4 linked regions of the Macaca fascicularis genome follow. The protein of the gene in region 1 purifies or fractionates together with the protein of each later gene. This does not show direct contact. Links are inferred from orthologs where the notes say so. Each region holds a gene or a part of one and is shown in the gene's direction. Other genes may lie near its edges. The genes, in order: PTPN6, CD22, KDR and CD72.

The links.
Region 2: the proteins of PTPN6 (region 1) and CD22 purify together in Homo sapiens (affinity purification with western blotting; 5 studies listed by BioGRID and IntAct, with this or other methods). This does not show direct contact. The link is inferred for Macaca fascicularis from reciprocal best matches to the Homo sapiens genes PTPN6 and CD22.
Region 3: the proteins of PTPN6 (region 1) and KDR purify together in Homo sapiens (affinity purification with western blotting; 3 studies listed by BioGRID and IntAct, with this or other methods). This does not show direct contact. The link is inferred for Macaca fascicularis from reciprocal best matches to the Homo sapiens genes PTPN6 and KDR.
Region 4: the proteins of PTPN6 (region 1) and CD72 purify together in Homo sapiens (affinity purification with western blotting; 3 studies listed by BioGRID). This does not show direct contact. The link is inferred for Macaca fascicularis from reciprocal best matches to the Homo sapiens genes PTPN6 and CD72.

What each region holds. Positions count from the first base shown.
Region 1 is NC_088385.1:7,882,806-7,886,842, forward strand, and holds the start of PTPN6 (tyrosine-protein phosphatase non-receptor type 6), read left to right. Parts: upstream 1-1,216; 5' UTR 1,217-1,379; coding exon 1,380-1,393; intron 1,394-2,358; exon of another isoform or gene 2,359-2,507; intron 2,508-3,043; exon of another isoform or gene 3,044-3,231; intron 3,232-4,037. Other genes in the region: C11H12orf57 (protein C10), read left to right, coding at 427-578. UniProt on the Homo sapiens protein: Tyrosine phosphatase enzyme that plays important roles in controlling immune signaling pathways and fundamental physiological processes such as hematopoiesis.
Region 2 is NC_088393.1:42,563,445-42,567,581, forward strand, and holds the start of CD22 (B-cell receptor CD22), read left to right. Parts: upstream 1-1,295; 5' UTR 1,296-1,466; intron 1,467-4,137. UniProt on the Homo sapiens protein: Most highly expressed siglec (sialic acid-binding immunoglobulin-like lectin) on B-cells that plays a role in various aspects of B-cell biology including differentiation, antigen presentation, and trafficking to bone marrow.
Region 3 is NC_088379.1:78,786,545-78,790,108, forward strand, and holds part of KDR (vascular endothelial growth factor receptor 2), read left to right. Parts: intron 1-1,432; coding exon 1,433-1,547; intron 1,548-1,634; coding exon 1,635-1,798; intron 1,799-3,564. UniProt on the Homo sapiens protein: Tyrosine-protein kinase that acts as a cell-surface receptor for VEGFA, VEGFC and VEGFD. Plays an essential role in the regulation of angiogenesis, vascular development, vascular permeability, and embryonic hematopoiesis.
Region 4 is NC_088389.1:63,785,637-63,788,814, forward strand, and holds part of CD72 (B-cell differentiation antigen CD72), read left to right. Parts: intron 1-2,477; coding exon 2,478-2,623; coding exon of another isoform or gene 2,624-2,628; intron 2,629-3,178. UniProt on the Homo sapiens protein: Co-receptor of B cell receptor (BCR) that plays both positive and negative roles on B-cell functions. Recognizes the Sm/ribonucleoprotein (RNP) self-antigen ligand, and coligation of CD72 and BCR inhibits BCR signaling.

The sequences.
Region 1 (4,037 bases):
CAGGGTGTTTCAGCTAATTTCTGTTTGGGGGTTGGTGGTTAAATTTTTGGTGAGATCCTGGTGTTCCCCAAAGGTGCTGACTGATTCAGCTCTGCTGCCCCATAGCCTTCCTGCGTTCCAGCTACAGACCTGGGGTCTCGTGTTCATTCATGGGGTTCCAGTGACTAAACTGCTAAAAGGGTTCACCTGAGAGCAAGAAGCACACTGCCTTGGGATATTTTCATTCACTGCATCCCATCTAGTTGTGCCCAGTGTAGACCAAGAAGTTGATCCAAACCACATAGGACAGAGGCCTGCATGCGTCCTGTTTTGCAAACAGCTGCCCAGCCAGTGGGGAAGCAGTTCATGCTTAAACTACCACCCCCTCCAGCTGTCTTACGCAGCTGGTCCTTGGAAGAAGCTTTGACCCTCCACTCCCTCTTGCAGGTGTCCTTAAATTTGCTCGCTTGGTCAAGTCCTATGAAGCCCAGGATCCTGAGATCGCCAGCCTGTCAGGCAAGCTGAAGGCGCTGTTCCTGCCGCCCATGACCCTGCCACCCCACGGGCCTGCTGCTGGTGGCAGCGTGGCTGCCTCCTGAGAGTTGGCCCTCCCTGTGCCCCTGCCAGGGAAGAAAAGGCCTTGATGTTCCAGACGATAATAAACGTGCCTGTGACTTAGCCTTGGTGTCAGTCTTTTGCAGACTTGACAACCCCCATCTCACCTTCCCAGATTCCCTCTGCCTTTCCAGGCCCCATCCCCATGTACAGCTCCTTCCTATACTCCTGGCTGGGCCTAACCCTGCTCCAGTGAGGGCCTGAGGCTCCTCCCCTTCCCCCAGGGCAGGGTGAGAGGCTGGACTGGGCCCCTCTACGCTCTGGGTGGGTGGGCGGGCCTGCACTGGGGACACCTCCTTCTCTGAGGAATTGGGCTGTTAGGACTTTCCCTTAGGCCCTTTGGTTTCCACCTACTGAGAGCTTTCCCCCATTGGTTGCTCTTCCCTCAGCCAGGGTTACTTCCTGGTCTTTGCTCCTACCCAGCGTCCCGCTGCTCTGTCAGCTTGAGCTCCAGGTGGAGCTCCAGGTGGCTCCTCCTCTCCCGAGGGAAGGGGGCCCTGGCCCAGCGGGCAGGCCTGCTGTACTCCCGCACTGGGGCTGCAGGGAAGCTGGCCACTGTGGGCGGTCTCAGGCCAGCCCCGCCCCACCTGTCCTTTTCCCGGAGACTATTAGTCCAGGGTTTGTCCCTGCGGTGCCATTGGCCTGGCAGGCTGGATCGAGGAGGAAGTGGCTGATTTCTGAGTGGTTCTTCCTCTCCTGGCTTGGGCCGCTGTGCACAGCTGTGCTCCTGGCTCAGCCCCGCCCACTGTGGCCCTCCGCTGTGACTTCCCCATCCCTACAGAGAGATGCTGTCCTGTGGGTAAGTCCCAGGCACCACCTGGGTCCTAGTCTCCTGTTAGTTTTGGAGGGAGGGAGGGCCTTGTTGATGCTCACTCCATCATGTATGTGAGCGTGAGTGCGATCTGCTGCTGCCCTGCCATGCGCCTGCTTCCGATCCCTATAAACCTTCCCCTTCCCGCAAAGTGTGAGGACCCCCAGGCTCACTCATGCCCCTCTGCCCCATCTTTAACATTTTCCGCCTGACAAGTGTGTATCTGTTCTCTCCATTGCATTTCTACTTCCAGCCTCTGGGCTCCTGCTTCTGTCTCCTGCTTAGGACCTGTCCCCCGTGGGTAGCTCACAACACCTGAAACAGCAATCAGAGGCCACCCGCGAAGGCCCTCCCATGCCCAGCCAACTTCCCCGCTCTTCCCAACATCTGACTTTGGTCCCATCTTCCTTCCGTTTCCTTTCACTTCCCGTTCCCCTGCATCATTCATTCAACAGGTACGTGTTGAGCGTCTGTTACACACCAGGTGTTGTTTAAGATGCTGGTAATACTGGAGTGAACAAGACAGACATGGTCCCTGCTCTCACGGAGCTTACATTCCAGTGGGAGGTTACAGACTGAACAAATAACCCAATAAATTGGATCATTGCAGATTCTCAGAAGTGTTATGCAGTAAATGAAACAGCCTCGGCTGGGTGTAGTAGTTCACGCCTGTGATCCCAGCACATTGGGAGGCTGAGGCGAGACGATTGCTTGAGCCCAGGAGTTTGAGACCAGCCTGGCCATATAGTGAGACCCTGTCTCTACAAAAAATAAGAAATTAGCTGGGTATGGTGGAATGCGTCTGTGGTTCCAGCTATGAGCCTGGGAGGTCAAGGCTGCAGTGAGTAGTGATTGCACCACTGCACACCAGCCTGGGCGACAGAGCGAGACCTTGTCTCAAAGAAAAAAAAAGAAAATGAACCAGCTTCATGTGCTAGCAAGTGACTGGGTGTGCAGGTGACATTACTAGCTGGAGGGATCGGGGAGGCCTTCCCGAGGAGGTGACATTTGAGCTGAGACCTGCTTGAGGAGGAAGAGGAGCCAGCCATGTGATGTGGTGATCAAGGCCTGGGCAGAGGAGCATCCCTGGGCAGAGGAGATGGTGAGCACAAAGCCCTAATGTGGGAACAAACAAAAAAAGGACCGTGTGTCCGTGGCAGAGGGCCCTCGTGGAGCAGAGGCAGGGCCACGGCAGGTTAGACCTTGTTGGATCTGGGATGTTGAAAGTGAAAACCTGGCCAGATGAGGTGGTGCATGCCTGTGATCCCAGCACTTTGGGAGGCCGAGATGGGAGGATCGCTTGAGCTCAGGAGTTTAAAACAAGCCTGGGCAACATAGAGAGATTCCATCTCTATTAAAAAAAAAAAAAATACTGGGTGTGATGGCCCAAGCATGTAGTAGTCCCAGCAGTTTGGGAGACTGAGGTGGGAGGATCACTTGAGCCTAGGAGTTCAAGACCACGCCGGGCAACATACAGAGAGACCCCATCTCAACTATGACGACTACTACTACTAAATAGCTGGACATAGTGGCACGCACCTGTGGTCTCAGTTACTTGGGAGGCTGAGGCAGGAGGATCACCTGAGCCAAGGAGGTTGAGACTGCAGTGAGTTGTGATTGTGACACTGCACTTTTCAGCCCGGGTGACAAAGCAAGATTCTGTGTCAAAAAAAGAGAGAGAGAGAGAGAGGAAGGAAGGAAGGAAGAAAGGAAGGAGAGGAAGAAAGAAAGAAAAAGAGAAAGAAGGAAGAAAAGGAAAGCGAGAAAGAGGAAAGAAGAAAAAAAAGAAAAAGAAAAAGTGACAACTGGCCAAAAGAAAGAAGAAAGAAAAAGTGACAACTGGCTGGGCGCGGTGGCTCACGCCTGTAATCTCAGCACTTTGGGAGGAGTTCGAGACCAGCCTGGCCGACATAGTGAAACCCTGTCTCAACTAAAGATACAAAAAAAGAAAAGAAAAGAAAAGAAAAAAAATTAGGCGGGCACAGTAGGGCGCACCTGTAGTCCCAGCTACTAGGGAGGCTGAGGCAGGAGAATTGCTCGAACCTGGGAGGCAGAGGTTGCAGTGAGCCAAGTCTGCGCCACTGTACTCCAGCCTGGGCGACAGGGAGAGACTCCATCCCCAAAAAAAATACAAAAAAGAAAAAGTGACAACCTGATTACAGAGTACTGGTGAGTTTGTGGGTGGGTGGCTCCCCAGCCCTGCTGATTCTTGCTTCTCACACTCACATCTGCTCCTGCCCCAGTGCACGTCTTGTCACTGTCGGCCCCACCGATGGGGTTCCAACTGAGTCTTCTGGTGCTTGATCCTTTCCGTGGTCATTTTCCTGCCAGATAGCTTGGCCAGGCCTCCCCTGGTGCAGATTCCATCCTTGGTTTCTCAGCCTGGCCTTGAATGACCCTCTACAGCAGGGTCCCAACCTCTCAGAGCAGCTTTGCTCCAGCCACACAGCTTGCTCACAGCCAGGCACTGCACATGTGGACTCTGTGCGTGCCACCCCTTTGCCCTGATGCATGTTGCCTCTGGGGGAGCACTTCTTCCTCCACCTTCCATCATGGGCTGTGGTGGTGCCTATCCCATCTGACCCCGACGCTGTCTGCTGCGGTATGGTTGGTGGTGGAAAGGGCACCAGGC
Region 2 (4,137 bases), on another chromosome or scaffold:
ATGCTTGAGTGGAGTGATGGAGGTGGAGTGGTTGCCCAAGGAAGCTTGATCACACAGGGTCTTGTAGGCCACAGGCAGGACTGGTGCTTGTTTATTTGTTTGTTTTGAGACAGTCTCGCTCTGTTGCCCAGGCTGGAGTGCAGTGGCACAATCTCAGCTCACTTCAGCCTCTGCCTCCCGGGTTCAAGCGATTCTCCTGCCTCAGCCTCCTGAGTAGTTGGGATTACAAGCATGTACCACCACGCCAGTCTAATTTTTATATTTTTAGTAGAGACCGGGTTTCACCATGTTGGCCAGGCTGGTCTTGAACTCCTGACCTCAGGTGATCCACCCACCTCAGCCTCCCAAAGTGCTGGGAGTACAGACGTGAGCCACCCCATCCAGCAATGGAATTTAATTCTAGTTTTGTTTTGTTTTTGAGATGGAGTCTTGCTCTGTCGCTGAGGCTAGAGTGCAGTGGCGTGATCTCAGCTCACTGCCACTTCTGCCTCCCGGGTTCAAGTGATTCACCTGCCTCAGCCTCCCAAGTAGCTGGGATTACAGGCATGCACCACCACGCCTGGCTAAGTTTTGTATTTTAATAGACACAGGGTTTCATCATGTTGGCCAGACTGGTCTCGAACTTCTGACCTCAAGTTATCTGCCTGCCTCCGCCTGCCAAAGTGCTGGGATTACAAGTGTGAACCATCGCGCCCAGCTGGAACTTGGGCTTTCAAAGAGCACGTTGAGAAGCCGCTGGAAAAGTGAGCTCAGAGGGTGTGATGGAGGGCTTGAGGCTTCAGAGGCCTACTGGCAGCTGCGTGGACAGTGAACACAGGCTATCAGTGGAGGCAGGGACAGGGCTGGGAGGCCCTGGCCATTGTTCAAGAGAGAGGAAGTGGAGATGGAGAGAGGAGTGGGGTCAGGACCCATTTTGGAGGAGGAAGTGGCAGGACTCACTTGAAGAGTCAAAGGTGACTCCAGCTGCTTCCTTAAGAGGTCGAAGAAAGCGCGAGGGGCAGGTTCAGTGCAGAACGCAAGAGTGACCTACTCCGGCCGAGTTCACGCCCAGGGAGGCCCTCAGGGACAGGGAAGACAGATGGCACCCCCTCCCTCTGAAATGCCAAGCTGAGGAAGAATCAGAACACATGACATAGTGACTCAGAGAGATGGGGGCAGATGCTGAGATGAGGGCTGGCCAGGCAGGAAGGGAGGTGAGAAGGTCTCATGGCCTCACGTGCCAGGAGGGCTGGGCCACCATGTGCGGGAGGGAGGACACCCAGGCACCAGGCCATGGTCATGACACGGGTCTCTTTGTCCCTCCCGGTCTGCCAACCTCCTGAGTCACTCCTGACGGAGATGACCGATCCATCCCTGGCCGGCCTCCCACCCTGTCCCTGGGACGGTGCCTGGGGCAGGCAGCTCCATTATCCTCCTTGATGAAAGAGCTCCCAGCGGCACTGGCCACTCCAGAGCCTCCTCCCCAGGTGGGTGATCATGCAGGGCTGGGCTCTTGCGACTGGCCAGGGATGGAGATGCACTGCACTGCTGAGAAGTGCTTTCTAGGAGTTCAAGACCAGCCTAGGCAACATAGCAGACATTGTATGTAGGAAAAAAATGCTTAAAAATAAGCTGGGCACAGTGGCGCATGTCTGTAGTCCCAGCTACTCAGGAGGCTGAAGCAGGAGGACCATTTGAGCCCAGGAATTTGAGTCTGCAGTGAGCTGTGATTGCACCACTGCACGCCAGCCTGGGCAACAGAGTAAGACTCGGTCGCTAAAAAAGAAAACAAAAGGTCGACTGTGGTGCTCATGCCTGTAATTCTACCACTTTGGGAGGCCGAGGTGGGCAGATCATCTAAGGTCAGGAGTTCGAGACCAGCCTGGCCAACATAGTGAAACCCTGTCTCTACTAAAAATGCAAAAATTTGCCAGGCGTGGTGGTGCGCACCTGTAGTCCCAGCTACTCAGAAAGCTGAGGCAGGAGAATTGCTTGGATCCTGGAGGTGGAGGTTGCAGTGAGCTAAGATTGCACCATTGCACTGCAGCCTGGGCGACAGAGCAAGTCTTGGTCTCAAAAAAAAAAAAAAAAAAAAGAGGAGAAGTAGCCAAGCCTCTTTCTATCCCCATTCTTCTCGCTCTCAACTCCAGGCTGCTCCTTCAACAGGAGGTGACAACCTCACCTCGCGAATTTTAAAAAAATTTTCTTTTAATTTTGAAATAATTATCAGAGGAAGTTGCAAAGATAGAACAGAGAAGTCTGGTGGCAGCTGAGCCAAAGACCCCTTCCCACCCTAGAGCACGATCTGCCCGGGGAGCGGGAAGGAAATGACAGTTTCGTCTCAAAGGGTCTCTCTGTGAAGCTCAGGCTGGGGCTGAGTAGCCAGAGGTGCGTGAATTGATGTCTGCAGGGAGTGATGGGTCAGCAGGGTACCTGACAATGTCTGGAATAATGACGGCTCACTTTCACAGAGAGCCCGTTCCATAGCAGCCACCGTGCAAAGTGCTGTAAGGACTGGGGACCTGTCGCAGCACAGCCCTGAAGTCGTAACAGCAATCTTATTATCACCCTGGGAGGGGAAACCGACAGATGTCACAGCAAACACATGGCAGACCTGGGACTGGAACCTACGTCTGTTTACCACATGCTTGTCATGGGATGTTCGGGTTGCTGAGCGTGTCCTGTGTGTGCTGTCGCCAGCCCTGTGAGGAAGGCACTATCATTGTTCCCATCTTACCGTCCTGGGCAGAGGTGGGGGGGGTGAGGGGGACACAGCCAGGCAGGGAGTGGCCACCCAGGGCTCTCAGGGACTCTGTTCATTGCCTGCTTTCAATGCTTCCCTGGTAAGGGGGTGACAGTCAAGTCACCAAAAAAGGAGACCAACGACCTGTTTGGAGGAACGGCGGGGAGGAAGAGTGAAAGCGCTGAGGCTGCATTCTCAGTTGTGCTCCTCCTCCCTTGCCCTCTCCACGCAGCCCTTGGCCTCCGGAAATCAAGACACGTCCACAGACCCATTGTCCAATCCCCTCCTGTAGCAAGACTATGAGCCACACCTGGCGCCGTGGCCAGCAGAAACCTCAGCTACTCCTTCTAGGTGAGGAGCAGGAATTCAAGTCCCAAAGGGTCCCCTGCCTGAGACCTTTGGGACCTGGCGACCTGGCCACCTGGCCTGGAGTCCCCCATTAAGATTGCTGGAATTAAGAAAATAAAAATTGATGTCCAGGTGCGGTGACTGGCACCTGTAATCTCAGCATCTTGGAAGGCCGAGGAAGTGGATTGCTTGAGGCCAAGCGATGGAGACCAGAATGGGCAATGTAGAGAGATCCCGACTCAACAAACAATAAAACATAAATTAACAGGGTATGGTGGCTGATGCCTGTAGTTCTAGTTACTCAGGTGGATTGCTTGAGCCCACCTCAAGTTCAAGGCTGCAATGAGCTATGATCGCACCACTGCACTCCTTCCTGGGTGACAGAGGGAGACTGTCTTAAATTTCTTTTTTTAAAAAAAGTAAGTATAGATTCACAGAAGTTGCAAAGATAGAACAGAGAAGTCTGGTGTGTGCTTCACCCAGCATCCCCTGATGGTTACTTCGACTAAATCATTCAGGACAGTATCAAAACCAGGAATTTGACATTTGTATAATATGTGTGTACAGTTCTGTCATTTTATCACATCTGGATGTATATAATGACAACTGCAGTCCAGATACAGAATTATTCTGTTACTACAAAGACCTCCCTTGTGCTACGCCCTTCATAGTCAAACACTTTCCCCCACCATCCCTAACTCCTGGCAACTTTTCATCTTCTCCACCTCTATCATTCTGTCATTTTGAGAATGTTACGCTTGGGCGTGGTGGCTCACATCTGTAATCCCAGCACTTTGGGAGGCTAAGGCAGGTGGATCACTTGAGGTCAGGAATTTGAGACCAGCCTGGCCAACATGGTGAAACCCCATCTCTACTAAAATACAAAAATTAGCCAGGCGTGGTGTCAGGCAGCTACTGGGGAGGCTGAGGCAGAAGAATCACTTAAACCCAAGAGGCAGAGGTTGCGGTGAGCTGAGATCGAGCCACTGCACTCCAACCTGGGGGACAAGGGCGAAACTCCATCTCAAAAAACAAACAAACAAAAAGAATGTTGTAACACATGTGAT
Region 3 (3,564 bases), on another chromosome or scaffold:
TTATAAGTGGACTCATGTAGTTCAAATTTATGTTGTTTAAGGGTCAACTGTAATTGAACTGGAATTAAATTGAACTGGCTTTGAGTAAATCACCTTAATTTTTTGTTAATTCTCTTTCATTTACATAAATGTCTGAGTTTACATGGTAATTTGTGTGGCATCCTACTTATAAGCCTTGGAAAGGATTTTGGATTTTATATCATGAGAATGCATCAATAAAGTGGAATTGTAAAAATACCTTAGATAATACTATTTATTAGAGTTGTAATCACAAAAGTGGCAACAACTACAACAAGTATGATTTAGTGAGCCCTTACTTTATTAGCTCATCTCATCTTAGTAGTTGAGATTGGAACTCAAGTTCCTGACTACAAAGCTATGCTCTTGACCTCTAGGTCATGTGGCATCCCTAGCAAGAACTTGAAAGTTTCTTCTGAATGAACAAAATAGAAATCACTAAGTGTCCTAAATTTATTTAAATTATTTCACTTGCCAAGATGCACTTGCCAAAATACACAGAGAGAGACGTGCTCTGGCTTATGTTTTGATAGAAGTACTCTTGTTCTCCAGGATACTTCAGGGAAATAGGGGCAGAAACAAGGAGGTTAGTTGGGAGGCTAATTACGTTTATCCAGGTGAGAGTTGAGGAGTGGCTTGGACAAGGGTAGTTGAGGTAGAGATAGTGAGAAGTGATCTGCTTCTGGATATATTTCAAAGGTAGAGTCAACAGGGTCTGCTGATCAATTCACTGGTTGTGGAGTATAAGGGAAAAAGAGTGGAAGATGACCCAAGTGTTAGCAGGAGCAACTGAGTAAATGGTGGTGGTATTTACTGAGATGGCAAAGATCGAGGAGGCAGTGAAATTTAGGGAAACAGTGTTAGATATGTTTCTCTGGAGATGCCTATGAAACATCCAAGTGGAAATGTTTAATATATCAACCTGGAACCCAGAGGAGTCAGGGCAGAAGGCACATATTTAGGAGGTATGTGAATGATACTTTAAACTTGAGGCTAGAGGAAGGTGTAAATAAAGAGGACGTCTGAAGACTGAGTCCTCGGGCCTATTAACACATGGTGGAAGAGGTGTGTGGAGTGTGTCTTGGGAGCAGAGGAGAAGGAGCACCCAAGCATCTCTGGGGGACTTAGAGAAAGCTGCACAGAGGAGCAAGTGTTTGAGTTGAGACTTGAGCAATCACTAGGCTTATGGGAGTGCACTAGTGGGGAGAGAAAAGCAAATGCAAGCACAGGAGGTGTGGGAGAAACACGGGAGGTGTGGGAGAAGCTGAAATGTGACCCACTAAAAGGTAGTACATGGAATCTTGGAACTGCAGCTACTCAGACCCTCAATGTTTTTGATGTTTCACTTGAAATGAAAAACTAAACCAAACGACCATTTACAATAAGCTGACATTTAAAAAAAAATTTCTTGCAGAAAAACCTTTTGTTGCTTTTGGAAGTGGCATGGAATCTCTGGTGGAAGCCACGGTGGGGGAGCGTGTCAGAATCCCTGTGAAGTACCTTGGTTACCCGCCCCCAGAAATAAAATGGTAACTACTAGAAATAAACACAAAGCATCATTTCATGTGAGAGCAAATCCTTCGACTGTACTAATTCCTGAGAATTCTTTTTCATAGGTATAAAAATGGAATACCCCTTGAGTCCAATCACACAGTTAAAGTGGGGCATGTACTGACGATCATGGAAGTGAGTGAAAGAGACACAGGAAATTACACTGTCATCCTTACCAATCCCATTTCAAAGGAGAAGCAGAGTCACGTGGTCTCTCTGGTTGTGTATGGTGAGTCCATTCAATTTTCCTCTCTGCCCAAGATTTATTATGATACATTGTCTTCCTAATCAGCCAGGCCACCATTCCTCTGCCTCCAGCTGCTTCACTCACATCATGGCCGGGCCTATGTACAAAAGTCATCTGGGGTGGTGAAGCTGAAGTGAAATGTAGGACTGTGTGCTCTGGCCATGTTTGTTTAAGAGGCCATGTAAATGAGCTTTGTGGTGGTCAAATGCAAGATTAAAGTAGTGATACCCTCCATAGTTTAAATGTTGTGAAAAAATAATGCCCACAGGGACAGTTGTCAAGTTAAGTTATACTACAATGTTCCCCTCTCATGGAATTGCCCACCTGGCACACAGATGTGTAAGACCCTTCTCCTTAGATTTTGTGCAAAGCTTCTAGTTTGATATTATAGTTGATGTATCAGTGAGGTACAGGCAGATTCCAACTCTGAAGGCTTTTGAAGTTGGCATTGTTGGCTTGGTTGGGGGCTTTTTTTTTCCTTTTTGACTGGAGTTCAGGGTCTGATTTTGAGTCTGTAAAGGCAAAATAGTACGTTTTTGATTTAAAGATGATTTGAACTTTGTTTTCTGAAACTGAAAGGTACAAATAAGTGTTTGGAATGGAATGGTGAGAAGGGTGCCATGGTCAAGTGAGTGTGAGAGGTGCTAAGGTGATGTGTAGATGTGTAACAGGTTTCTTTATTACAGGGACTTCTCAGAACCTTTTATATACTAATGTATATTGGTATTCTCTAGGGGGAGAGACATAGAGTATTCAAGGTTTAACAAACCTATTTGACTGGAGCATCGTTTTTCCCCTGAGCAAATTCATTAATCTCTCACTCCAAACAGTTTGAGAAATGCTTCTCTGTTGTAATTCTTTGTTCCCCCTTCTGGTATGGCATATTAAAACTTCAGGATATTTTCCCATGGCATTAAGGTGCTTCCCTATGTGTCCTAATACTCTTCTGTAGGCTGCTGAACTTGGCGTTATTTTTTTTTTTCAGGGAATATTTTAAAGATAGGTTGGGCATGGTGGTTCGCATTCGTAATCCCAGCACTTTGGGAGGCCGAGGCGGATGGATCACCTGAGGTCAGAAGTTCGAGATCAGCCTGGCCAACATGATGAAATCCCGTCTCTACTAAAAATGCAAAAATTAGCCAGGCATGATGGTGGGCGCCTGTAATCCCAGCTACTTGGGAGGCTGAGGCAGGAGAATCACTTGAACCCAGGAGGTGGAGGTTGCAGTGAGCCGAGATTGTACTCCAGCCTGGGTGACAAGACCAAAACTCCGTCTCAAAAAAAAAAAAAAAAACAAGATAACAGGTTCCACAGAGGTTCTTCAGAAGCAGCATAGGTGTAGGGGACTGGGGAGAGGAGAAACTGGAAAGTGTATAAGTAGGATGGGAGGAGAAAATGAACGGGAAATAAAAACAAAACATGGATAGCAAATAGCCCATTTCATCAGTTCATGAAGCCACTAAATCTTCTATTCACTTTAGCATATACTCTGCTATGTGAAATAAACATAAAAAAGAAGTCAAGTCTTGAAAGCATAACCTGAGGCTTTAAGTTGACAGTAGTAACGAAATAGTTTTGACTTTGGAGTCAAAAAAGAAAGAAAGGAAAAAGGGAGAGAAGAAAGAAGGAAGTGAGAGAAGGGAGAAGGAAGAAAGGGGAAGAGGGAAAGGGAGTGGAGAGGGAGGGAGGGAGGAAGAGGGAGAGGGAATGAAAGACTCAGATGGTGGTGGCAGTAATGCATTCTCTAA
Region 4 (3,178 bases), on another chromosome or scaffold:
TCTCAGTACTCACAGTGAGGTGGAGCCTGGAGTTGTGGTGTAGGGAACTAGGATGGGGTGTCCATTCATTTTGAAAGCAGGACCCCAGCCAGTAGGTGGAGATGGGGAAAGGGACACATAAAAGAGGCAAGGCTGTGTCAAAACAGGCTGAGGGTCTAGGCAAGGTGCCAGGCCCAAGGGGACTGGGGTGTTTTTGGGCTATGATCAGGTTTAGGCTCTGTCTAGCTTGGGGTCATCTGGTCGATCTCCCCAGGCATAAGACAGCAAGATTATGTGCAGACGCCCCTTGCCCTCATTTCCTTAACCTGAACCTCTGTGACCATCAGTTCCATGCCAGGGCTGCCCATTCTCTTAGCAGCACCTTAGACCTCTACATCCCAAACTGCTCTTCTGGCAAAAGGATGGTTTCAGACTTCCACTCTGATCACAGCTGCCCACCACTCCTCCAGGTTTTCCCCAAACTTTTTTATCTCATTGAGGCCTCCAATCTGCTGACTCCCCTTTTTCTCCCTTCCCATCAGCTGTCTCCTGTCCACACTTCTCTCCCTACCTATCATGGGTTTGGAGCCCATCACTTTTACTACTCACTTTTTTTTTTTTTTTTTTTTTTAATAGAGACAAGGTCTCACTATGTTTCCCTGGCTGGTATCGAACTCCTGGGCTCAAGCGATCCTCCTGTCTCAGCCTCCCAAAGTGCTGAGATTACAATCGTGAGCCACCGCACATGGCTCACTCACTTCTTTGTTCCGTTATCCTTCTAGTGCACCTGATGGGCAAAATTTCAACTCTGGATGAACCCAACTGCCCACAGTCAGCACCAAGGTGTGACAAATTGTGGAATCATTTTGCTCAGTGCCACTGAGACTCTAGTCTCTCAGCACTGCCTGGCAACCTCTGCAGTGGTTAGCTTGCTCTCCATAATAACTCCTTCTCCCTCACTTTCAGCACATGCCCTCACCTTCCATTCTGAGAGGAATTCCCTCCACTTCCCATCACCAAGTCTATAAATCCATTTGGATTTTTGCCCATCCTCATCTTTTGCAAGGATAGCTGCAACAACTTTCTAAATGTTTTTCCTACTCACTCCTCTCCCCACAGTCCATTCTTCATATTGGAGCCAGGGTAATTCTTTACAAAAATCTGATCATGTCATCCCAATCTAGAGCATTCCAGTTAATTGATTACATAAACAGTTATGGAATACATAACAGATAATATGTTCTAGCACTGTGCCCAGGCACTTGGGATATAGCTAGTGAACAAAATTCCTCTGTGTAGAATCCTACACTGACTTTCTCTTTCTCATAATATAAAAATAAAAAATCCTTAACATAGCTTCCAACACCCCTGCCTACCTTTCAGTGTTCCACTTATCCCCTCACTTTCTTCCATTTGGTCATACGGATTTCTTTTCTTTTCTGTTCTGTTCTTTTTTTTTTTTTTTTTTTTTTTTTGAGGTGGAGTCTCACTCTGTGAGACTGAAGTGCACTCCCAGGCTGGAGTGCAGTGGTGTGATCTCGGCTCACTGCAATCTCTGCCTCCTGGGTTCAAGCGATCCTTTTGCCTCAGCCTCCCGAGTAGCTGGAATTATAGGTGTGCACCATAGTGCCTGGGTATTTTTTGGTATTTTTAGTAGAGGTGGGGTTTCACCATGTTGACCAGGCTGCTCTTTAACTCCTGACCTCAGGTGATCCATCCCGCCTTGGCCTCCCAAAGTGCTGGGATTATAGATGTGAGCCGTTGTGCCCAGCAGGGATTTCTTTTTATTCCTTTAAGTTGCCATAGGACAGTAACTCAAGGGAGTAGCAGGGTGGGGACATGAGATCATGTAGAGAGAAGAGAGGGAGCTAGTGGGGAGCGAATGATTTTTGAATGATGAAGGTAGGACTGATGGAACAAAGCAATGGAGAGAGGTGGTCTGGGGATCAGAAGTGCAGATTGGGATGTAGGATGTTGAAGAAAGAGGGATATTTATTTCTTATGGATAGTCAGGAAAAGAAGAACAGAGAAGAGAAATTTTGAGGGCAATGGAGAGAGCTGTTTCTGCAAAACAGGACCCAACATTTTCGGCTTGTAGGAAATTGGAGAGGGAAGGAGGGGGCCAGTGCTGGAGGAGTGGAAGTCTTGGATGTGCAGTGGGGGGTGCTTTAGGGAGTGGAGGAGATGGGCCCAAGAGATGTTAGGTAAAGTGTCAGGGTGGACTGCAATTGTTCAGAAATTGGGGTAATAAAATTAGCCCTATTAAGACAAACCTCCTAGATTGCTAAGAAGTAATGTTGTTGAATGTTAAAGTCTTTTTACTAAGTAAGGACAGGTACGGTGTTTCCAGGGGATGCAAAGGAAAGAAAGATTGCAAAGATCATAGAAGTCCATGAAGGTGCTGAGATTAGCCCTAGGAGAATATTGTTAGCAAAAGACTGCTGAGTAGTTACTTTCATCCCAACTGTTGCTGCTATCACACTCTTTCTGCTTTTTAGACACCTGCTGTCCGATGGGATGGACAATGCATCAGAAAAGCTGCTTTTACATCTCACCTACTTCGAAAACTTGGCAGGAGAGCCAAAAACATTGTGAAACTCTGTCTTCCAAGCTGGTCACATTCAGTGAAATTTATCAACAATCAGTAAGCATATCCTTACTCACAGACTGTGGTGGGTACTATTCGGTAAAGGGACATATGTCATCAAGTCAGGAATGGCAGTGCATACATGGCTGGGGTGGCCATTCCTTTTCCGTGGAAGAAACTGAGAATCACAATACTCTTGACCTCTGAGCTTGGAAACAACCTCTGCATCTTCTCAGCACAGTGGTCCAGGCAGCCCCTACTAACTGATTAGAGTTGGCATGAGAGTAGAAACTTAGGAACCATATCTACATTTTTTTTTTTTTTTGAGACAGAGTCTCACTCTGTCACCCAGGCTGGAGTGCAATTCCGTAATCTCAGCTCACTGCAACCTCTGCCTCCTAGGTTCAAGCAATTCTCCTGTCTCAGTTTCCCGAGTAGCTGGGACTACAGTCACACACCACCACGCCCAGCTAATTTTTGTATTTTTGTTTTTTTTTTTTTTTTTTTTTTTTTGAGACGGAGTCTCGCTGTGTCTCCCAGGCTGGAGTGCAGTGGCGTGATCTCGGCTCACTGCAAGCTCCACCTCCCGGGTTCACGCCATTCTCCCGCCTC